Linked DNA regions of Lepisosteus oculatus. The protein of the gene in region 2 interacts with the protein of the main gene of each other region in a biochemical or structural test. Links are inferred from orthologs where the notes say so. Each region holds a gene or a part of one and is shown on either strand. Other genes may lie near its edges.

Region 1 (7,463 bases), on a different chromosome or scaffold from region 2:
AAAAATGAAGGAGAAATATTTAGAATCCATATTTATAACAGCAGGTCTATCTTAGACTTTGAATGGAAACGTGATACTACATTAAAACAACAAAATATTCCCTCAGCTAGACTGGGGTTTGAGGTCACACCACTCCCCACCATCTGCAGAGACAAACACCATTTTCTCCAGCAGTTCTGATGTTTTGAAGCAAAGTCCACATCCGAGCTTAAAAACATGAGAATGAAAGGAGGCCACTTAGAACATCTAGCCATTTTGGTACAAAGCAATTAATTGATCACAGGATCTCAGCCAGCCATTTAGTGAAAAATAAGGTTGATATCAGGGTATTGGCTTCAACAACATGGCTGGCTAGCTGCTGCCATTCTCTCACAATATCTTCGTGGGAGTAGCTAATCACCAGCACCAAAAGCAAAACGCTTTAACATTTAATGCTAGTCCCCAAGTCGTTTCTTTGGCATTGTCATGGGTTCATCCCCCAAAGCAGGACTGGGCGGAAAAAGGTTTAAAAACTTTACAATGCAAATAAAGCAGGAGTAATGGGTGTAGAAAACAATCAAACAACAGTGAGCGATAAGGAAGTTTTCACACTAGGGGACGACTCTAGCTTCTGTAGCTTGTCAAGTCACTGTCATGCCGCCGAGTACTGTCGAAACTATAATCAGATTAAAAGAGGTGGGGGCCCTTTTCCAATTACTGGTAATTAACACAATAAAAATGGACCTCCCCTCTGTTTATATTTGCCTTTTCAAATATTCATAGCTCTTCCACCCACTCCCACTGAAGATGACCTTTCTTGGAAGGAAGGCTAATGTCTGATGGCACAGTTTAGGAATATGCAAGGAACATTTCTTAGAACTGCTCAAACGCTTCATGGATTCCACAGGCACACCACAGTACTGTGCATACTACAATTGAAGAAAAGACAAGCAAAACAGCAAGGATTATGAACGCTAACATAATATATATCCTCTCACGTATTGCGGCATAAAAACAAATTCTTAAAGAACTCTATTTTTGCATTATACAATTTACCTTCACGAACAACTAGTAAATGAAAAAGTTTAAGTTCCTTTATATAAATAACATACTTGTGGACAGCCAGTTTCAATCTAACAGGTACATACTACTTTCAGTTGGAAAACTGAAATCAAGCCAATTCCTCAATTTACAGTCTTTAAATCAATTAAATAAATCTTTTACTTATGTATTCCGAAAAGGGCTAACAAATTCCTTTTACTCATGAGTTCTCAAAATAAGTACAACTTGCTTTTCTTTTGGGATACAAAAGAAAGTTCTTTCGCCGTAGGGGAACAGACATCTCTTCTTCACTTTACACATTTCTATTTCCCAGAAAGTGAGGAGGGACACTTCAGGACTTAAGGCAAGTAACCGGCAAAAAAAAAAAAAACTACAGCAGTTAAAGTTCTTAGAAATGTGAAGAGAGACCAGCTGTGAGAACAAAGGTAAAAAGGATTTCTATACCGGACAGATTGCAACTTTTTGCACGGGCTTGGCAGACAACAGAAAGGAGAGGGAGAAAAAAATCAGGCTGTTTTCCATGTTCTGAAAGCACAGAGTTCAACTCCCCAGCAAGATGCACTTGTCGGCATGGAGAAGAGGGCAAGAGTTTCAGATTTGATCCAAGAACTCTGGAGACACTTCTTTAGGCTGGCTAGACCAGCAGGAACACCTGAACCGAAACAGTCTGGAGACTTACTCAGTCCTGTTGCGGTTTTTGTTCTCCTGCAGCTCCACGAGGTTGATGACCGCCTGCCCCAGGAACTGGTCCAGCCCCACCAGAGCCCGGTGCATGACGACGATGTACAGGGTGCATCGCTGCTCGTTGCCCTGGTGGAACATGGGCAAGTCGAAGGTGGCTTCCTCCTTCCACACCGGCATCGGCGATTTCTCCACCACCGAGGTGGAGTACTTCTCCTTGGCCAGCTGGATAATGGCGTAGGCGTCGTTGGTGCCATTCTTGCCCTTGGCTTTGAGGTTCCTGGCCTGCAGCACCGTCACCTGCACGGTGGTGGGGTACCACTGCTGGCTCTGCTCCGCCAGAGACATGGCCCGTGTCCGGGGGTCGGGCGAACGAAACCTGTCGCTAGAAGAGGCTGAACGGAGGGCACTTCAAAGGGAACTGTCCCGAGTTTCTAGGTATCGCCGTGTCCGTGCCAAAGCGAGCTGGTCCTCTCTCTGTCTCGAGTCGCAAACGAAGTCTGTAGTTGGCACGGCTTGGGATGTTTCACAACCCTTTGCCACTCCTTAAAAAAATGCGATAACGTTAGCTGTAGTGTTTTGAAAACACCACGAACTGGAATGCTTAATCTTGAAATTCCTCAGCGACACCAATGACGTGACCTTATCATAAAACACTCCTCCTTGGAGCAGTTTACGTAAAAGTCACTATCTAAAAATATGTTGAATATTTTGTCGCCCTCGCACCTTTGAATATTTTTAACGTACGCCACACCGCGCACTTGTTCAGTACCGCACCGACCGACTCGTCTATTTTCTGCGTTTTGTCGTGTAAAGCCCCAAAGGACTTTTCACTAGCGCGTTGCTATAAGCGAATTTCAAAGCCCGAAATTTCTTTTTGTCAACTTTTTTTCCTAACAAACAGCATTACCTTCGAAGGAAATTATCCGGGGTCGTCTTTTTCTTTTCCTGGGAAAGTCTATACTCGTCATAAACACATTCGTGGTAATAACAGTTGCTACACGATATATGTCCAGCCTCCGCAACTGCCGCCTGTAACCCGCTTCGCATCCACGTTCGTTCTTGTAAGTAGGATTTATTAATTAAACGGGTTTTTTTTTACCGAAACTGCTACCTTAAGCAAACTCAGGTCATCAGTCCACAGCTGCTAAAGTTACCATGTGTACAGCTTATTCAACGAGAGTCGTTTCATCGATAGTTACCATTCGCTGCCCACAACATTTCATTAGAAAGCAGGTCTTTTCATTCCGGCTTTAAAAAAAAATATTGACATTTTTAGAATACCGGCTCCTTTCAGTTATCGCATTTCGCCTTAGTCTCAGTAATTCGAGTGCTACCTCTTGTTTTATTAACTCACAGTCAATACTAAACTTCCTCCTTCATCACGCACCACCTCGACCTTCTCCCGTCCATCTGCCCAATACGAAGTTGCTTATTGGCCAATTACCGATCAATCAAACCTTTTCCTTCTGTGATTGGTGGAAATGCTCTACAACAGGTTGCTATTGTCCGGAGCAGGTAAAGATCAGGGATCAAATTGCTCGGCAACAGGCATTACGTCATTGTAACACAATGACCTGCGTGTTTAAAAGCGAAGTTCCATTCGGGTTTAAAGAAATGCAACTGAGTGTAAAAAAAAACTAAAGTGATAAGTTTGCACAAACATAATTGTTAAAGAGATTAAACACGATGACAAGCATTACGGTACAGGTAAAGCGTGGATGTAAGTCTATAATTATAATCTGCACTGAAATTATATAATCATAAATACTGTTAGGAAAATATAGAGAAATATGTCAACCATTCATTTCGACGCGTATCTGCTTAGGAAACAGGCTTGTTTGTAAAATGAGTTGGCGTATTGTCGATTTAATCGCTGTATTCAAGCAGCAAAAAACTAAAGGTGGAAAAACTAAGGTTGCTACTGAAAGAGGTGTTAGTGGGGGCAGTAGGGGGCGCTCACTCTGCGGTCTGTGTGGGCCCTAACATTCCAGTATAGTAGTTCAGGTGAACAGAGCTCGCTGTATCACCTGCAAGTACACATCCAACACCACACTCATTCAAGGCCCCTCAGGACAATTCCGGATCACCCAGATGGCATCTTGTACCTCCAGCAACTTTTTTTACTGTATCTCTTGCAGTAAATGTCCAGCCATCTACATTGGAGAAACAGGAAGGAGACTCGGAGACCGCTTCAGAGAACACGTCAGGGCTGTGAAGATTAAAGATCTCTCCAAGCCCATTGTTTCTCATTTCACCTCTGATGGCCACGACCACTCTAATCCCTCCGTCTGTGTTCTCAAAGACGGTTTTCCGAACTCATACATCAGAAAGACCACCGAAACCAAACTTATCCTGCAGCTAGGATCACACCTTCCGCCTTCTCTTAACGACAGACTACTATTCTACTACATTTTCTCCATTCATTGGAAGTTTCATTTCACACCTCTCGACACCTATCCTGACTTCACACCTCTTGATTTCTGTCCCCTGCTCCCTCCCAGCCTTTGTTCTCCCACTACACTACCTTTGCCTACTGCCCTGTCTCTCTCACACCTGAAGAAGACTCCACGGCCGAAACATTGCGTTTTCTTTCTTCTCTTTTCAGCATGGAATAAACCTATTGTCCCTTTGCAGCCTACGCATGCTGACGCAGCTGCCCACCTGATTTATTATTAGTTAATTTTGGTTTCGTATAATATCTATAATAATAGAATTAAATACAGGATATAATAGAATGTAGGGCAATCAGACATAGGTCCTAGTAAAAACGTGAGTTTTGAGTTTAGATTTGAAACAGTCAAAGAATTTGTCTCTGCAGGAGTTAGAGGAAATATTAAATAACAAAGGAACAGCGACGGAAAAGACATAGGCACCAAAAGTCTCAGATTTAGTCCTAGGTATTGTGTACTATACATTCCACTGAAATTTCCAAAGGGAGTGAGAGAGTCTGTGAGTGACTGTTCAAGGTACAGGGATGGATGAAGGCTATCCTTATGGAGTATCCTGGGTTCAAGATACGGGAGCACAGAGCTGTCGGCACACCTTGACCATTAGCGCACTCAATTTGTCCCGGTAACTTTTCTGCTGAAACCATGGATGCTGTCCAAGTTATTATTGCTTGCTCTCATTCGATTTACGTGGTTAAATAAATAAAACGACAAGCATTTAAAAAGTAGTAAGAGATTAAATTGCAATTTATCATTTCTGAAAGACAAGCGCTCTCACTGGACAGTCGAGCGGCTCCTATTAAGGTGGAAAGACACACTGTCCTGTGACTGTGAAATGCTGTAGTTTTTATTTAGGACGAACATAATGAGTCCTGAGCTTATTCTTTTTTTTTTTGTGACCCGGCCAGCAGAAAGATCGAGTCAGGGAATAACTGCTCTCCATTCACATAAAGTCGCTTGGTCAATACGTTACCATCGTAAATTCAAGAAACGCCATCACCCCCAGACGAAGCCGCACGATCTTGCTAAAAATAACACGCTTTCTTAACTTTTTTTTACTATTGCCTTTTTTTTGTCTACAACAAAAAAGCACAGCAAATAAAACCACTAAAATAAGATTTCAGATTTTTTTAGTCACGGTGAACCACACATCATGAAGGGAACCGACTGCCCGCAATTTTGAGACACCAGCGCCATCTTCTGTCCTTCGTGTCAGATTCTATATACGGCCTTAAATGGTGAAAAAGTGGTCGTTACCGCGAAAGGCAAATACAATTGACAAATTATGTGCCTTTTTTCACGCTTTTATGCAACTCAATGGGGCCAGGGTAAAAAAAAAAATATGTGTTTCAGGATGTAAGTGGTTATACAATTGTGACTGACCTTTCAATTAAAAATCTAGCCGGACCTACAAGCACTGCACAAAATCCCAAAAGGTGAAACTTTCGCCGTAGTATTATTCCCCAGCACTCACATACGTACATCTACGCCCTTCCAGGCTATGCTTAGCTTTTAATACAAAATTAACGTTCAGTGAGTTTTTAATTCCGATGGGGGGGGGTGGTTCTAAACTTTGATTAAAACGGTATTTCGGTTTTAATTGCAGTGTCGTTCATCTTTAATTGATACGGTCTTGTCAAGAATCAAATTACTAATTGCGCCCTTCTCTAAATGAGGAAATCAGTACATACACGATTAATTGCATTGTATCGATACATCGAAAAGTACATTTCCTACATAGCGCAGCAAACACTTCACAATTTCAATGGGATGCTTTCCTAGGGGGCGCCGTGGGCCCGTTTTGTATTCTGTTCTGGACGTGCCCGGATGTGGATGAGTTTTGACATTTTATTTTCTGGTTTGTCCAGTGTTCTTAAAATAAGGAGGCTCCTTATTAATTTGGTCTTTTGTCTTACTAAATGATAATTGTGGTCTTGACTTCTGTCTGTGACAGAAGGGGGTCTGTGGGGTTGGTCCTATAGCTCAACAGATGTTGGCGCTACGCTGGGACCCTCACACTAGCTGTCCTGACATTACGGGCTTATCTTGATTTAATTTATATGGAACATTAAACGTCTAGGATCTGTGGTGCCACGGACAGACGGTAGAGGCTTTGAGCGCTGCTGCTGCTAAGAGCAGGTCCTTATTAGGAGCTGTTTCGTCTGTTTACAGCAGGGGGAGGTTCCCACTGATAGCGGGGAAAGAGCGAATTGTTCAAAACATACAACCTAACATTCTAGCCCGCCTTATGTTGTGGAATTCAAGAATCTGTGCTCATTTTCAAGTATTGCTTTTTAAAAAACATTTAGAATAAACAAAAGATGGGAGGGAGGAAGTTTCTCAGTGACACAATGCATACATAGCTTAAAAAAATCTTTATTTTGAAATAAACAACCGACAAAGCAAATCTTTTATAAGGCACTGTCCGGATTCTAGAAGAAATATATTATATAAAAATGCTTTATTATTAATATACATAATGAATTGTCTTCAGGTAAAAAATATAAATACGCACTTTAATCTTGAAATCTCCCCCTGTTCACCCAGAAATGAGAACTACAAAACCATAGATTTTTCAATTTTATGGTCGGTTAAATTTTCCTTTTTTTTGTTGAGTTTTCAGTTAAGAGCTCATAAAGCAGTTCAATAACATAACTCTGTGGCTTTAATGAAATGAGAGCTGAAGTAAAACAAATTAAATGAAACCTGAATCCTCCATTATAATGACGTGTACTCTTCCTTCTATAGTTGTTAATTTTTAAATACTTTAAATCGAGGGTTTGAAACTCAGAGCCAGGGGGCTGCAGATACTGAAAAACTGGATCAAGGCTGTATTATATATCATCCAATGTAAAACATCTTGGTAGAACTTTAAATATTTGTTGCTGGATCAATGATGTAACTGAGACCTTGGCCAATATTCTGTACAATCTTGGAGACATCTGCCAGTGTCAAATTTAAATCCTGAAACTTTCTGGAGGTTGTCCATTGAGTAGATGCAGGCAGGAGACTGCCTAACAGAAAGCACCCATCAATTGGCACCTAGAATTTGTGATTAAGTTGAAATTTCGATTTAATCCAGACCCTTGAAGCAGGAATAAAAATCTCTCTGGCCCTCTCCGAATGCCTGTCAAAGTCAGGATGGATATTGTTTCTAAGCCAAACTACACTTTCAGAGCATGTAGTGAAGACACAGTGGTACCTATCAAGGAAAAATACTCTCTAAGTTAACATGTTCAATGAAACAGTAGTTTGCAAGTAAAAAGGGTCAAAGCTGCAGCATGTTTCTAT
Region 2 (8,570 bases):
CATGGCAAAACATGCTTTCGTTTTTGAACAAAAACAAGACCAGTGGACTATATCAGCACCCTTATACACTCCCAATATCTTTGACTGCACTCATGTATCCAAGGCAACTAGCAATGCAGACATCTGACACGCACTGAGAGGACGACTTTGATTTATCACAAGAGGAATCCTCTCTTGCAAGACATGAACGCTATGTAGGTCGTGAGATCTCTGCTGGAGAAATGTAGCAGTGTTTCTACCAGGTAGAAGGCTAAAATCCCTTAGTATTAAGTAGACTAGATTATTTAGCAAGGCTAGCAGACTATGTTCCCTGTATTTCTAGAAGATGCCTCCTTAAGCCCCTTTTCATGGTTAGCAAGCTTGATTAAAACCTTAAGCCTACTAAATCAGAACAAAACCTAAATGCTTGGCTGTGTTCATTGATTACCTTTGTAATCCCCACCATGTGAACAACAATAAAAATAATTTTAAATTGAAAAACACTGAATGAAATTGGGCAGGATGGGGTGGCAGTCAGCACTCCTGTCTCAGAGCTCATGGGGTCCCGGATCTGGTCCATCTGTGTGGAGTTTGCATGTTCTCAGATTATCCACATGGGCTCTCTTTGGGGGGGTAGTATCCCCTCCCCTCTAGAGATGTGTTGGCCAAGTTAACTAGTGTTGATAAACAGGCCCTGTGCACGAGCCCTGCGGGGGACTGATGTCCCAGCCAGGATGCAGTCCTTTCTGGCTGCCCCAGCTTCCTGAATGACTTTTACAAGGACTTGTAAGCTTCTTTCTTACAATGGATGGATCCATGACAGAGCCTGAGCTGTGTTTGTTTGTGGCGCCCAAGAACCATAAGTTGCAATTTCAAAAAACACACCTAGAACAAGGAGCTCCCTTGTGTCAACTTCCCTTTCCCGATATAAACTGCACTATTGAATAAAACCCCAGCAGTTCAGCTGCTGCTGATAGTAACACACTGTGACAGTCCTTTGTGTATTGTTCTAAAGTTGTACAGATACAGCTGTAAATAGACTAAACTCAGCCCTGTTTAATTCTGCTAAACAAAGAGCCTAGATACTGTAAATGCACACTAGTGCTTTTACTGCACTATAAGAACCTCAGTACACCTGTAAGAGCAAATAGCAATCTCAGCAAGTGGTAGAGTACCTTTCAGTTGTACAGTAACTCCACAAGGCTAAAACACACACTATTACTGTCCTGCAAGTGAATACCTAAACCTTAGTGAACAGCAGTTAAGAGCTGCTAAACAGAAGTGAAGGGTGTGCACATTCAGAGTAAACACGCAGGTACAGCATGTGGGACAGACTAAAATTGCAGGGAGTGCACTCCAGTCTGGGACCTGGCTGCAACTTAGCTGAGCAGCCCTTTGGACCCGTTGTTGACTCTGCCAGACCTGTGGAGTAGCCAAAGCTGACTTGCGGAGGCCCCGAACGTTTTCTAAGAACATGTGCATGCTACAGTGATTTGGGTTTGTATGCAAGCTTATTTCAAACGGCATCTGTGTTTGCAATGGCTTGCGATTCTCATGCCTGAGTAGCAGGGTGGATGCACTGAAGCACACAAAGCCTGCAGGCTACAGCATTCCACAGAGCAATGCAATACTTCCTGACAATGAATAAACCCCTTTGTTCCGAAGCTGTGGAAACATCAACCCATCCGCAACCCCTTTCTCCTGTTTCTTGTTGTTTTTCTTTTAAGAATCTAGGATTTGTCCATTACGATCAGGACTTACTGCCTATCAGGTTCCAGAAGGTCTGTGTTGTCACCGAGCTCCGGCTCACAGGATCACTGTAAGACACATTACAGTGGAACGCAGGTGATCAACAGGGAGATGCCTGTATCCGCCTGCTGCCTGTGTTTCTTCAACAGACTCTACACCCTCAGGTTAATCGAATATAGAAGTTGCGAAATTCATTCTTGATATTTCAGTTAAATATCAGAGGAGGTGAAGACTTAAGTAAAAATTGGGGGGAAACACACAGATCGTTGTCATTCTACTGTTGCAATTTATGGTGATGGAAGACTCGTGAAATGGCTTCACTTCAAACCTCCAAGTGAGGTTGACTCCAAGACCTTAAGCTCAAAAATAACTCCTCGGACAAACAACCACGGCATAGGTCAACACGAACAATTGGCAGAGTATTCGATTTCAAACGGATGAAAACACAATAAGTAAAACTGTTAAAGCATTGATGCCTACTTGGCAGAGAGCATGAAGAAATGATAATCACCCCCCCACACACAAAAAAGGGGGTCACAGTGACGACAGTGAGTAACGTTTTAAAACTAAACGATGAGCGTCTGCGGGTGTCCGAGAGTCCGCATTCCTTCCGCACTTGGGCTAGTGGATTCCTGGACAGTCAAATGTCCGTCCCTGACTCATCCGCTGCGAGTCCCGGACAAACACACACACCCAGTAATCCTGTTACGTGTCTCTCAGAGAATGTCATTGAGCAACGGTTTCTGCTTCCTCGCTAGAGTAAGACTGCCGCTTTGCATTTTAAGAGTCTTGTTGTAAATAGTGAAGAAAAGGACAGTATACACAATCGTACATGAACAACCCGACCAACCTCAAGTTACAATATGTCTTATGGTCTTGGTTAAGGCGGCGTACCGAGTTAACATTGCACAAACGAGTACAGACGGGCGGACACTGTCTTGAATCTTAAAAAAAAAACAACGTACAGAGGTCGCCCCGTAAAACAAAAACCGAATTACGCGAATCGCTTTGAACATCTCAACCTTCACCAAAGAAAAAAACAGTAACTTGTAACAGTGTCAGTTTCAGAAATAAAGGAGCTGATATCAAAGCTTAATTGCAGCAGAGCAGTTCAGCATCCTGTCAGCGTATTCAAACGCTTTTATTTCTCCTTACACGTTACAATGTGAAGGCAGCAGGTCTGGGCACATTATTAAGGTGTGAAATGGCGCCGCCAGCTGCGGTTACCGTCCAGCAGCCGCTGTGACAGAGGCAGGTGGGAAGAGGTTGTTTCAGGTACCTCTCGGTGTACCGCAACCTAGGACTCTGCTCCCCGGACGTAGTGTAACAACATGTCGTAATTTCGCCTTGATTTCTCAACTTTCAACCGTAGCGACTGTTTTTGCTATACGTGTGCTAAAAAGAGCCCGGGCACAGACGATTAGTCCCCCGGTCTTAATGGATAGTAATATTATTCACAGAGCAGCAGACCAGATATCTCGGGTACCTCACAAAAGCCCGATGAAGCCAGTGCCGAGCACTTACCGTGTGCGATCAGTGCAGCTAATGTTACTAACGCGCAGGCTAACATCAACCATTACGGAATGAGAGAAAACGATGTTTTGTAGCACTCCCTTTACCTTTGAACAAATAGTCATATTCGTCGTCTCGGGTTCCCATCTTGATTCCAGAATAAATCGAGCCAAGTGAGAATGAAAATACGGGATGGCAGCCGCACCGTGTTGCCCACTCCAGCCAAATTACCACCCGAGACCTGCAAGAGTCAAGAAGTCTGCACTTCCGGGGTCACAGCGGGGTCACCATTGATCAACATTTGTTTCTTAAATATTGCATATCTGTTCCAAAGGTGGGTGGTATGTGCAGTCACTCCTCTCTGGGCCACGATCTTTAAACGTCCTTCTGATACAGGTCCGGTTTACTGAAACCTACAAAGGCGTCTAAACGAAATGAGCGCAGCGTTTCCTTGGAGTCTATGACGTAATGCTGCCGGGCGCGTGTGCCTCTTCGATAGTGCGGTACGGTCCGCGTTCCCGAGATTTCGTACTATCCCGTTTACCATCTCTTCGTTGATTGTGTCTCCTGATTAAAGGAACACGCACACACAGGTTTTTGCATCCTGCAAATGTGACACGCGCACCTTAATGCAACTGTATGTATCTGCTGCCAGGGAAGACATGTAGTGAATTCAGCTCTCTGAGATTGCCAGGTCCGCATCATGTACGTCTAATACTCCCGTACGAATACGTACTGAAACGATTCAACTTTATAAACGTTTAGTGGTATTTACTGAGTGCTTTGTAAATCTCGTTGGTGTGTGCATTGCTAGATGTGGCAGATAAAACGACGAATTAACGACGGTGTCATTGCCCAGCTTGTTTTAGGCTCATGCAAGGGGGTTTACGTACAGGAGGTTCCATGGTGTAATGGTTAGCACTCTGGACTCTGAATCCAGCGATCCGAGTTCAAATCTCGGTGGAACCTGACTTTTTTCCCTACTTGTTTAAATAACAGCACAGCAAAATAGCTGGCATGTTGTCCTCGTTTTACACATCGAGGATACGCGAAATTGTTAAATAAAAACGTTTAAATTGAATATATTTATCTTGACTGCTGGACGAGCGTAAATTCAATATCGTGTCAACAGATGGCAGTAAAGGCGATGTAGCTGTGACTGGGGGCGCAGGTTCTCTCTACTCCATTTTGCACCAATCAGGCTGGAAAAACGGGAGCCCCACCGTGCGAAGATGGCGGGGTTCGAGCGGAGGGTTCCGGTGGGTCTAGCTTCAGCCCGACGGTTCGCTGAGATGCAAACACCGAGCTGCAGAAAGTCAGTCAGCTGGAAGTAGCGCCGGTCCTGGTGCTGCATTGTATGTAACAGCGGAATGCGAACGAATCCTCCCTTTTAGATTGTAAAACTTGTGTCTTTTCCGTTTTTAATTGCACTCCCTCACGTTGTCTTCTGTCCTCGTTGTACTGTCTACCGGGTTAACACGCTTACAGACCTCCGACTGCTGTGAACGCAGTTCTACAAGGAGCCTGTAAAGATGACCCGGTCTGTATTAATGCAAGAAGGAACAGCAGGCCTGTATAAAATAAAAAGTATGAATCCAGCAGGAGGCGGTAGTAAGATTGGCACGGAAACCTCAAACTTCATTAGAAAAGTCTTAACTATGATGTTGTTCCTGAAGTTCCCAGCGCATAACCCGAGTGTGTTACAGTTCTCTATGTAGCCACAGCGGTTTCTGTGACACTGCCCTGTGCTGACCGGATGGTTACTGCTGTAACGGAATGCAAACTCTTCAAGACGCGGCGTCCATCCGGCATTTTTTGCTCCGACAGCATTGGACCCTAAAATATTCTGATTTTGTGTCCGTGTCAGTTCTCAAGTTCGCCGGTCGCAACCCAGCGGTGAAAAAAAAAATCTGACACAAATGAAGTCGAAAGAAAAGTTGTACTAAAACTGACTACATAGCCATATCATGATAAATATTTATGAAGAATTTACAGGATTGTATTAATGAATACAGAGCCTTACAACGTAAGGATACCCTAAACGTAAAGGAAGTGTCCCAGACGTCAGTGAGACAGTTTCAGACACTGTATAAGGTACTTCAGAAAGGGATAACTTTTTCAATTAAGAAGTTAAAGGAAGGAAGATTGCTTTTAAGAAAGAATGGATTGGCTTGCAGAGTAACTGTACACACACTTCATAGATGACTCTGACAACATCTTAAAGTTTTTCTCTTCCACTATCTTGTTAATTTTAAAAAGCAGAATTGACTTGCCTTTGGAATGGGTTATCTTTTTAAGACTAACCTTCTCAACTCTGGGTGAATACCAGACTTCTGCATGAGCTCCTGTCACGGCTTGATGCCCAGGGCCGGCCACCAGACCCTAGACGCTCTCGTGTCATAAATACCTCTCCACCTGTGTGGCAGGGGGGCTCATTGCAATGTGACATGCGTGGGGGCTGTGTCGTTTCTGGGAGAAAGCGACGGTGAGCTGCTGATGAAACAGGCCCTTGTCTCTCCTTGTAGGTTCTTCTCCTGCTCTACCACCCCACCTGGCCAGTTCAGGTCAAAGGTCAAAGGGCGGGTAAGACGGAAGCCAAGCAGCAGTGGGAAATTTGGACTCAGTACCAGTCATATCAGAAGGCCCGGCCCCCACCACAGGTGGGCTCCAGCTGCCAGGGGCCACAAAAGAGTTTGGAGGGCAGAGGCGACAGGCACTCACGTCAGCGCCACACTGACTGAGAGGGCGACACTGACTGCCAGCCCGGCCTTCCGTCTGCCTCTCCCGCGCCCGCGAAGGACCGTACCGCCAAGAGCCTGGCCCTCTCCAAGCACTCCCGCCCCGCTGGCTGGAGGCACAGGTCAGCGCCATCGGCCTCGCGTGGGCTCCCGGCAGAGGCGCGGGACCCGCGGGCTCTCGACCCGGCCGCAGGCTGGCACTGGAAAGGCTTCGAGCCCAGGAGCCCGATGGGCCAGACGGCCTTGTTTTGCAGGTCACCTCCCAGGTGCCGCAGGGTGTGTGCAGCCTGCCATACAGACACAGCAGCTCCCAGCACCTCAGGGTTGCCGTTGGCTGTCGTCTTACTCAGGTAAAGCTGAGGAAACCTTACAGCTGGCAAGGCATGATTTCACTTACCGCTGCCAGAAACCGCCTCTATCACGATTCCGCGTGATTTGAACGTAGCGTGTGTTGTTTGTGAGATACCGTGTTTTGAACTTATGGAGTGCCGGCCTGCGGAGATGAGCACAGCGAGCTGGTAGACTGCAGCGCAGACATCACTATGACTTTGTGAGCTGGGTTGGGGTCACAGAAAGCATGTAACTGGGGACTGGCTCAGTGCCACCAATGGTGTAGATCTCTGTTTTGTTTGAAGGAGTCTGGATACAGTGGGCAGCTTCTGCACATTAGTATTCAGTGTGAGCAGGTCAAGACAGGTTTGGGTCTCGGTTCGCTATCCCCCTGGCGTAACAGAGGGGAAACTGCAAATAACAAAATTAACCTTTAAGCTGTGGATGAACAAATTGCATATTTGCTTCAGTGATGTCCATATTAAAGTCTGTATTTACCTTTTTTTTGTCCATGTTGTTTTTTGTATGTAGAAATATTTCATCACCCAACTTTGTACTTCTGATACAAGTATCAGAAGTACAAAGGGAGCTATAACTCAATAATTTCACTTAAGAATAGAGAGTGCTACCTTGTCTGATGCCGCCATCACTGGAAGTCTGCCCCACACTGAACTCTTCGCTTTTCTACAGCTTCTTCACGCTGAGAAGAGCGCTGCTTTTGTCAACATTGTCCGTGTCCACTAGGTGGCAGACTTGCCGCTTTCTTTCCAAGTTGTGACACTTGATCAACACATAAGGTCAGCTATTTGTAAGGGTGGGAAATGTGTCCTTGCGGTTGTCATTGTACGTGAATAGAAAATGTTACAGTGTCTTAAAAACACAGCCTGGTATATCAGGTACTGGGGCTAATCACAAAAAAATGACTGTAGAAAGCAGGGTTGTGGGTTCAGTTGTCTGATGCGGTTAAAAACAATTGAAATAATCTATGGAAGTTTTTATTGTTCAGTGCTTTTCCTGCTGCATGAGATGCAAAGTATTTTTTGATTAATGATCTGTATATTCCTCATCTGTTGTTAGTGCTTAAAAATCCTCTATTTTCTAATTAATTTTTTACTTGCTATTTTAAATGGTGATATAACTTATTTTAACAGGTAACAACACAGGGTAGGTAAGAGGTTAAGATTACTTTATTAGCCATATACAGTTCCTTGCATTAGGATTGCTCTCTATGAGACACAGACAAAAGCTTGGGGTCAGAGCACAGGGTCCACATGTACAGTACAGTGCCCCTGGAGCAGTTGGGGTTAAGGGCCCCTACTGCCAGCTGCAGCATTTGAACCAGCAACCTTCCAGCCATAGGCACAGATCCTTAGCCACCACTCCATCCCGGGTATATATTGCATAAAATGTCCACACCATCTTGTACATAAACACAGTAACCCACCGTGAATGAGATGTAATCTAAAGCGTGGTACTATCGTTGTAAATTAAATCAATTTCACAGCTCTTTTTCAAAGACACCTCTGTTCAAACCCAGGAAAAAACAGCAGTTCTTTTTCTTCACAGAACTGAAGAGAGCAGACAAAATATTCGGAGAGGGAGAGTTTTGCAGCGGATGCTGATAGGAAGATCTATGAGAGTGAAGGACTTGTATATTTTGCTCTTCGGAGAGCGAGGGGGAGAGAGCTCAGTGACACTAGAAACAGGCCGCTTCTCTAGTGTGAACATTTCTCTTCGTGACTTTGGAAAGTAACGGACTTTGGAAAAGTTATTTTCTAAAGTACATTGGAAGCCACGATCCCAGATCCCACCTGCTACAGAAGATATTAAAAGTGTGAAAATGATGGGCCTTGAGGGGGAAATTATTTTCTGTAGACAATAATTACTCTACTACAGCAAATGGGAGGCACGGTACTCTGGTAATGCACATACTTTTTTCTTCTATTGCTGTTAAATTCGAGGAAATTTCCTCCACAGAACCTTGATCCATCCATTTCTTAATTGCTTATTCTGGTTTGGAGTCACAGGGAAGTTGGAGCCTATCTCGGCAAGCAACAGGCGCAAGGCAGGGTACAGCCTAGAGGGGCTGCCAGTCTATCGCAGGGCACAGAACTGGTGCAACAAGCACACACCAGGGACACTTTTGCCAAAATTCACTTAAGGCTCCAGTGTGTCTTGGACTGTGGAAGGAAACCCACACGAACATGAAGAGAGCAGCCGAACTCCACAGGGGTTCTTTAACATTTAATAGACAGTCAGGGA
Region 3 (8,095 bases), on a different chromosome or scaffold from region 2:
GCTCTCGAGCTCACTTTGGGCATCCTGGCTGAAAGGTACACCTGCCTGGAAGGGAATTTCATCCTGCTGGAAGTGACAGAGGAAACCAGAAAAAAAACTGTGTCAAATGGTAAAATGTGAAAAGACAGGTTCCTGCCAATTAAATACATTTCCTCCATTTCCTTCATTCAGTCCTACTCGGTCAAACAGACCCTGCACAGTCCTTTGGGCAAACTGCACACAGGCAACAACTGGAAAACATACTTAACATTACAAACACAGCTTACAGGTCCAGAGAGATAAAAACAGTCAGGAATTATTTTCTCTTTTCCTGGAGATTTTCTTGTGGACCAAAACTATCCGTCCAGGAGGCAGCGGGAATTCTGTATGGATCTGAGCTTCAGCACAGATAACGCTGGTCAGGGTCAGAGGTCAGAGCAAGGGCAGGGTCAGAGACAGAGCAAGGGCAGGGTCAGAGGTCAGAGCAAAGGCAAGGTCACTGTCAGGTCAGGGTCAAAGACAGATGAAGGGCAGGGTCACTGTCAGGGCAGGTCAGTCTATCACAACATGAGAACATTCACCACAGGAAGCACACAGAGGATAGCAGGGACAGTGCTACTGTATTTCACACTCTCCAGCTATGTGTGCAGCACAAGCAGTCATTAACTTGACTGCCTTCCCTTCCCAGAGATCCTGGTAAGAGTTTTACGAAAAATCATTGTGTTTTGTAGCAAGCAAGAGCACATATTTAACTACATTATCTCTGAAAAACAAAAACACCAAAACCCACGTTTTCCTGAAATAGTGCATTACTGCTACACTGAGTGTCAAATACTGCACAGTGCTTTCATAAAGCATTGCACAGCTTGTCTTGTCCCTGCAAGCTGAAGGTTATTCAGCTCCTCGGGATCCTTTTAGCATCCTGTAACTGAACAGCTGAGCTGAAGGAAAGTGCTCTTGTAAATGGACCTGCCCACGCAGGCAGAGAGCAGAGCCACCTACCCGCGTTTCATAATCCTCCTCCCTGCCGGAGTAACGAGCACGCTCACGCTCCTTCTGGGAAAGGGTACAGAACCAGGGCACAGCTGCCAGCTGCGCCAACGCCACACAGACACCTGTGCAGCCTGATGCCATGACAGGAAGCTTACTGCAGTCACTCGAGGTAACTCGTCCTCCAGGTGCACTTCAGTGGTCAGTGAAGTGGCACCACACATGTGAAGAGTTTTGAGGTTCACTGGGATGAAAGGTGCTATATAGATGCAATGAATTACAAGGCAGAGAAGAGAGGGGTGTGGCCAAGCATGGGCACCATGGGGAAGCAGAGAGGGGCGTGGCCAAGCCCTGGCAGCATGGGGAAGCAGAGAGGGGCGTGGCCAAGCCCTGGCAGCATGGGGAAGCAGAGAGGGGCGTGGCCAAGCCCTGGCAGCATGGGGAAGCAGAGAGGGGCGTGGCAAAGCCCTGGCACCATGGGGAAGCAGAGAGGGGCGTGGCCAAGCCCTGGCACCATGGCGAAGCAGAGAGGGGCGTGGCCAAGCATGTGCACCATGGGGAAGCAGAGAGGGGCGTGGCCAAGCCCTGGCACCGTGGGGAAGCAGAGAGGGGCGTGGCCAAGCCCTGGCACCATGGGGAAGCAGAGAGGGGCGTGGCCAAGCCCTGGCACCGTGGCGAAGCAGAGCTCAGAGCAGCTGAAGTGCAGTAAATCCTTGAGAATGCACTTAAAGCAACTGCTGTAAAAGTGATGATTTTTTTCCTTCGTTTCGGAACTGGAAATCAACACACCAGGTCAGGGGAAGGGAGTGCATATATAACAGAGAGCAGCTTCTGTCCAGACTCACTGCTCATCCCCTCTCCTTCACATGCATTCAGCTGTCGGGGTAGCAAGGTGAACAACAAAGGAGAAGATCATCTATCAGTCAGTGTGGAACCAACACCACAGGTTAGTCTCTTTGGGACAGTAATGTGGGCTGATTGATCACAATGGTGTTTATTTACAATGCAAAACACCCCCCCAACCCCTGAGATTGTAACCCATTTCAGTACAGCTTATGTTACATCCGTCTATATAGAGCATGCCACTACACCTTCTGAAATGTCTATGTAAAATACTGGAAATACTCATACTACATATATTAATGAAAAATAAACATATGATTAATGCAGCATGTCATAATGGCAGACAGGTCTATTTTCTGCATGTTGCAATATTGATTGCCAGTGACCACAAAGCCTTAAACAGCACGGCGCTCTACCCTTGATCTTGGAGGGCTGCAATACTCCCGATTCTCAAGGACTTTTATTCCGGATTCACAACACTCTCAGATCAGGGGAGACGGACGCTTGTCGTCACCGAAGACCGCGCGACGCCACGCGCTGCCAGTTCAAGGAGGCGCGAGGCGCGAGGCACCAGGCACGAGATCCCATGCGCGCTCCACGCAGCCTTGCGGGCAGCGGGTCTGTATCCATGGCAACCGGTGGGCGATCTCCGCCCCGGCGTGGAGCCCAGTTACAATATTAAAGGAATCGATAAATAAATACATAAATAGACCATTACAAGAAAAAAAAAACGACCGCAAGACTAGGCACGCAAACAGAAACACCTTAGGGAATGTCCTTACCCTGGTTTGAATTATTTATAACCCTGTGTATGTATAGATTTTCAGTTAAACAGAGTGAAGTCGCTAAATCTACACCTGTACTACAGGCTACACAAAATAAATAACACCGTTATTTATTTTAAAAAGTGTAATATTTCCAACCGAAGGTCCTAGACAAAGCGTCCGCGAATGAACTTGAGAGACGTCAGTCAATAACAAGAATCAAAACATTTCAGCCCGGCTCAAAACAGGCCGACGACCTCGGTCTCAGATTTCACAATTCCCCGTGTTTTTTGTATACATCCTGATATAATAAGGTTTTTCTGTTCGCCCCCACAACCGGCTGGCAATAACCCCTCACTATTCCGTACATTATTGATGGAGTGTGACGTCGGCTGTTTTCTTGGGAAAACAAGGATGTGCAATTGAAAAATAAAACGCATCCGAAGCGTACATTTGCTGTCGGTTTGTTCCCTGCCCCTGGCGAGGCGCCTCACCTCGTCTCCCTGCCCGAACTGTAAGCCCAGGTGAACGAAATGCTCGACCCGAATATATCCGGCTGCATCCTGGTCGCAGACGTCGAACACCTCCTTCAGCTTCTTCAAGAAGCGCAGCAGCTGCTCCTGCTCGGCGCTGCCCTGCCCGTCCATCCTCCAGAAACGGGGGGCTTTCTCCCGGATCCCGGGGCGCCGGGTCGGCGGCACTGGGGGGGTCTAGCGGGAAGCCGGCGGCAGGACCCGAGCTGCCGGCACCATGACCGTCCTCCTCCTCGACTCCGCTGGAAAGCAGCCCGGCTGTGACATCACAGCCTCACCGGGCCGGGGAGCTCCGCTGGCGGCGGGGAGAGGGAGGGAGGGAGCGGGGAGGGACGAGGGCTGAGGCGCTGGGCGGGGAGACGGAGACTGAGACTGATGGAACGCTTCCAAAAAAAAACAAACACCCCCCCCCCCACGGGACGTCACGTCGAGTCGGTTTCTGGGGTGGTGGGGGGTGTATTCGGAATCAGGACTGTGTTTGCGTTCCCGTACTCTCCCAGACTGACCCGGCTGTGCGCTCACCTGAAGAGCCGAAGAGCTCAGGTGCGACTTTCCTCCGAAACGCGCGAATTTGGCCAAACCTCGACCTGCGGCGCGTCCTGCCGAGAGGGGACGCGGACAGACCGGAAATCCACACCCAGGACCTGCTGCTGTCCCCTCCAGGGGACGCCCTTGCAAGCTGCCCACGCTGAACAAAAGAATATCTCTAGTGTATAGTGGACTGTAACTCAGTCCTCACACGTTCTGCAAGATGGTTTATGCAGCAAACTTGCGAGACGTACAAATCTCTCCAGGACGGACAGGCGAAACCTGCCCTTCAAGGCCAGACCTCCGACTGGACACACTGACCTGTCCATCCCTGCTGGACCAGCTGCGTGTGGCAGTAGCAGCCGATTGCCGGACTTCAGTTCGGTCCCGGTAAAAGCTGGTTACATCGACCACACAAAAAAAACAAATTAAACCTGATTTTGCTGGAGTTAAGATCGCGGTGTTTCACAGATCCCATTTTTGCATTGTCTATTAGAACAGAAATTCACGCCTGGTCTTTCAATTATTTGTGCGTGTGTGTGCGCGGGGGTGTTTTAGTTACATCTCACGGAAAAAAAAAACTGGACCCAGGACTAACCCCGCGCCAGGACTCGCCTCCACAGCGTGATCTTTCCTTTTTATTGCAACGCAGAAGGCCAGCAAGCCAGAAAGAAGCACTGAACTTTCATGATTTAAGGCTCAGCAAGCGTGCGGTCGGCGCATCAGAGCAGCGAGTGTTTCCATTAGCGGCTGAAACATGAGGCGGGAGCCCCGGTTGTCCTCCACACTGTACCCCCACACACCTCTCACCTTCACACTGTACCCCCACACACACAGCCTGGTCTCCTGCCTCTCTCCTCCACACTGTACCCCCACAGACCTCTCACCTTCACACTGTACCCCCCCACACACACAGCCTGGTCTCCTGCCTCTCTCCTCCACACTGTACCCCCACACACCTCTCACCTCCACACTGTACCCCCACACACACACCTCTCACCTCCACACTGCACCCCCACACACACACCTCTCACCTCCACACTGCACCCCCACACACACACACCTCTCACCTCCACCCTGTACCCCCACACACACACACCTCTCACCTCCACCCTGTACCCCCACACACACACACCTCTCACCTCCACCCTGTACCCCCACACACACACCTCTCACCTCCACCCTGTACCCCCACACACACACACACCTCTCACCTCCACCCTGTACCCCCACACACACACACACCTCTCACCTCCACCCTGTACCCCCACACACACACACACCTCTCACCTCCACCCTGTACCCCCACACACACACACACCTCTCACCTCCACCCTGTACCCCCACACACACACACACACCTCTCACCTCCACCCTGTACCCCCACACACACACACACCTCTCACCTCCACCCTGTACCCCCACACACACACACACCTCTCACCTCCACCCTGTACCCCCACACACACACACACACCTCTCACCTCCACCCTGTACCCCCACACACACACACACCTCTCACCTCCACCCTGTACCCCCACACACACACCTCTCACCTCCACCCTGTACCCCCACACACACACCTCTCACCTCCACCCTGTACCCCCACACACACACCTCTCACCTCCACCCTGTACCCCCCACACACACGGCCCATTCTCCTGACTCTCTCCTCCACAACCACACCCCCCCCGGGAGCAGCCACACAGCCGGGTTGTGAAGGCGGAGCGTGTTCCCCGTGTTTGCGATGCTGCTTCAGGGTTTCAGGCTGCGCCGAAGACCGAGAGTGTGAAGGCCCCCCCCCGCCCAGAGCGTCTTCGAACCTCCCCCGTCCTGCCCACAGCCCTAACACCCAGCCGGCCCTTGAACTAGTTTCATACCCAGCAGGGGGAAAGTAAAACACTTCCACTGCACCGGCTTCTCCAGCGGTCGGGGTGAGAACGGGCAGGCGTGGGGCTCCCCGGGAGCAGGCGGGGAGACCCCTGTATCCACACAAAAACGGAGGGAATAGCGGCCTGCAGAGGGATCAGAGTGAACGAAGGAGTCTGGTGGTGCAACCGAGTCTGAGCGCAGCGCTACGTGCAGAACAGCGGGAGGGGAGAGGAACAGGACAGCACCAGGGCAACTACCGGCTGCCCGCGAGCCGCAGAGACATCCCGAACTCCTCCCCACACACACACACGGTCACACAGCAAAGCACCCAGGCCCCACTACAAGCCCCTGGTAGCGCAGGGACTCCACTGAGCTCATTCTGGCCCCAGTGTAGCATCAGCACTGCAGGCCAGTCCTGTCCTGTCCTACCGGAGCCGAGCACACGCAGGGCTCGGGCGCAGACCTCCCACTGCTTTCGCTATGTTTCCTGCAGCCTGCCTGTTCTTTACAGCCCTCACTCCGCTTTTAGCACAAACGCTCCCCAAAGCGCCCCCTGCTGGCAGGAAAGGGGAACTACACCCCGCCTTGCCGAGACACGGCCACCAGGAGCCCAGCTGCTACAGGGTAGCTTTGAAAAGGAACATTTATTAACTAAAACTTGCTCAATTGTAACTTTATACAAAAAAGCACTCTTATTGCAGTAAGAGCCGCTATAAACCAGTTCACAGTATTAAAAAAAAAAAGTCCTAAAAGGGAGTTTCCTCGAGGCGAGCGGCGTCGCGGCCCGGACTCCTGGTCAGTCTGCGGCGCCGGCCAGGCCTCCCTCTGCGCCGTCCACGATCAGCCGCGGCTCCAGCAGAGAGTCCCAGCGCTCCGTCAGCTGCAAGACACCGCAGGGCTCAGTCACGCGGCACGCCCACAGGGGGGACCCCCGCCCCCCCGCGCCCCCCGCCATGATCACGCGGCCATAACACCGGCGGTTACCTTAGAGCCCCGCGAGACGGCGTACTCCACGATCTCGGCGCCGTCGGGCGTGTGGTACACCAGATCGAACTTCCCCGGCTCGGCTGGGGCTGCTGGGAAGCCAGGGTGACACCAGTTAAAACCCAAACAGCTCAACCGCCAACGAGACGGCAGCTTTAGGAGAACAGGTTCTGGCGAGGAGTGGGGGAGGACTAACCAAACCCGTCTGCACCCCCAGTGCAAATCCCCAGGCCCCCCAACTCCGGCAGGCTGCTTGTACTGCACGCAACTGAGCCACTCCAGATGTTCACAGCTGTTGGCTCTAGCACGTAGCACCACCTGCCACCTAAACTTCAACTAACGGAGGCATGACGATAAATAGGCACAGATCCACTTCTCTGTTTCCTCAGGACAACGGCACCCGACAATGATCAGACTGCAGCCCCACAGTACAAATTCCAGTCCTTCGCTCCTCTCAGCCAGCTGAAGCACAATGCAAAGCCTCAGGAGGAAAATCAGTTTTCAACCCGAGACCCTTCAAGAGCCCCCCCCCCCCCCAAGACTGCAGCGCTCAGACCCCGTCTTCACTTCCTGTTCTAGTGTTGTAACACTGCAGGTTCCCCGGCCCATGTCCGTCTCGCACCTCCCCAGAGGAACCTGAAAGAGAAAGCCCAGGATCGGTTCTGCTGGAGCGGGCTGTCCCAGCTCAGTCACGCGGTACCTGGGGCGGACGACAGCAGCTCCAGCTCCAGCTGCCTGGTGCTCTGGTCGAAGCCGACGATCCTCCCCTCCTGAGGGGGCAAGGACAGGCAGGAAGATGGCAGGATGAGCAGACGGTTAGAAACTGGGACCGTCGAGACGTTAAGCTCAGATTTCAGGGGTTCTGCACAATTTCCATAACCACAGGCAGGAGCATCCGAGCTCAATCGCAGAACCGCTCTCCCCAGACCAGCATGTGGACCCCACCACCTTCCTCTTAAAGCCCTGCATCAAGAACAGGGACTTGCCTTGTAGTCGGAGACCTCCGGCGAGTAGTTTTCAGTCAGCTCCAGCAACTGCGTTTCAAGGAGATGGAGAGAGAGGAGCAGGAGGTGTCACTGAGGCTGTACATTCTGCACAGAGCCATGTCTTAAACCTCTCTTTGGAGGGAAAATTAAAAGCTGGTTAAACCAAAACCTCTGACCTTTGTACACAGAGCGAGAAGATAATGAACACTGACTGATTAGGCTGATAGGTTTCTCCCCACAACTCTCAACCTCAAAACGTACTACTCAAATTCATTCCCCACTCGAACGAGAATAGACCCGGCCATCCGGATCCAGAAGTGACCCATTTTCTTGAGGATCAACAATTCCCCAATTTGAAAAAGGCAACCCACTAAAAATGTAGTTTATTTTTAATCCCCGTCTTACCTTAAAGGCAATCAGCTGTCCGACAGCAGGAGGGGCGGCCAGCAGGGGCAGCAGACTGTAGTCTCTCTTGGGGGCATCGGCAGCAGGGTTCTGCAAAGCACAACAGCCCATCGGAGTGACTCCCCAGGATCGACTCGGGACCAGGATTCAACCCCTAGCCCGGCTCTGCTCGATCTCCAGAGACTGACCCCTCCCTGCCCCTTGGTCACTT

What was found.
Region 1: the proteins of rab11a (region 2) and rab11fip1a form a complex in vitro, tested with the Homo sapiens proteins (2 studies listed by BioGRID, with this or other methods). The link is inferred for Lepisosteus oculatus from reciprocal best matches to the Homo sapiens genes RAB11A and RAB11FIP1.
Region 3: the proteins of rab11a (region 2) and rab11 family-interacting protein 4A form a complex in vitro, tested with the Homo sapiens proteins (2 studies listed by BioGRID, with this or other methods). The link is inferred for Lepisosteus oculatus from reciprocal best matches to the Homo sapiens genes RAB11A and RAB11FIP4.

What each region holds. Positions count from the first base shown.
Region 1 is NC_090697.1:72,846,466-72,853,928, forward strand, and holds the start of rab11fip1a (rab11 family-interacting protein 1), read right to left. Parts: upstream 3,216-7,463; 5' UTR 3,080-3,215; intron 3,074-3,079; exon of another isoform or gene 2,773-3,073; coding exon of another isoform or gene 2,633-2,772; intron 2,268-2,632; 5' UTR 2,071-2,267; coding exon 1,721-2,070; intron 1-1,720. UniProt on the Homo sapiens protein: A Rab11 effector protein involved in the endosomal recycling process. Also involved in controlling membrane trafficking along the phagocytic pathway and in phagocytosis. Interaction with RAB14 may function in the process of neurite formation.
Region 2 is NC_090700.1:47,579,312-47,587,881, reverse strand, and holds the start of rab11a (ras-related protein Rab-11A), read right to left. Parts: upstream 3,331-8,570; 5' UTR 3,299-3,330; coding exon 3,253-3,298; intron 1-3,252. UniProt on the Homo sapiens protein: The small GTPases Rab are key regulators of intracellular membrane trafficking, from the formation of transport vesicles to their fusion with membranes.
Region 3 is NC_090704.1:46,849,142-46,857,236, forward strand, and holds the start of rab11 family-interacting protein 4A, read right to left. Parts: upstream 3,488-8,095; 5' UTR 3,224-3,487; coding exon 3,071-3,223; intron 1-3,070. Other genes in the region: coil (coilin), read right to left, coding at 6,306-6,389, 6,494-6,585, 7,194-7,263, 7,480-7,527, 7,885-7,974. UniProt on the Homo sapiens protein: Acts as a regulator of endocytic traffic by participating in membrane delivery. Required for the abscission step in cytokinesis, possibly by acting as an 'address tag' delivering recycling endosome membranes to the cleavage furrow during late cytokinesis.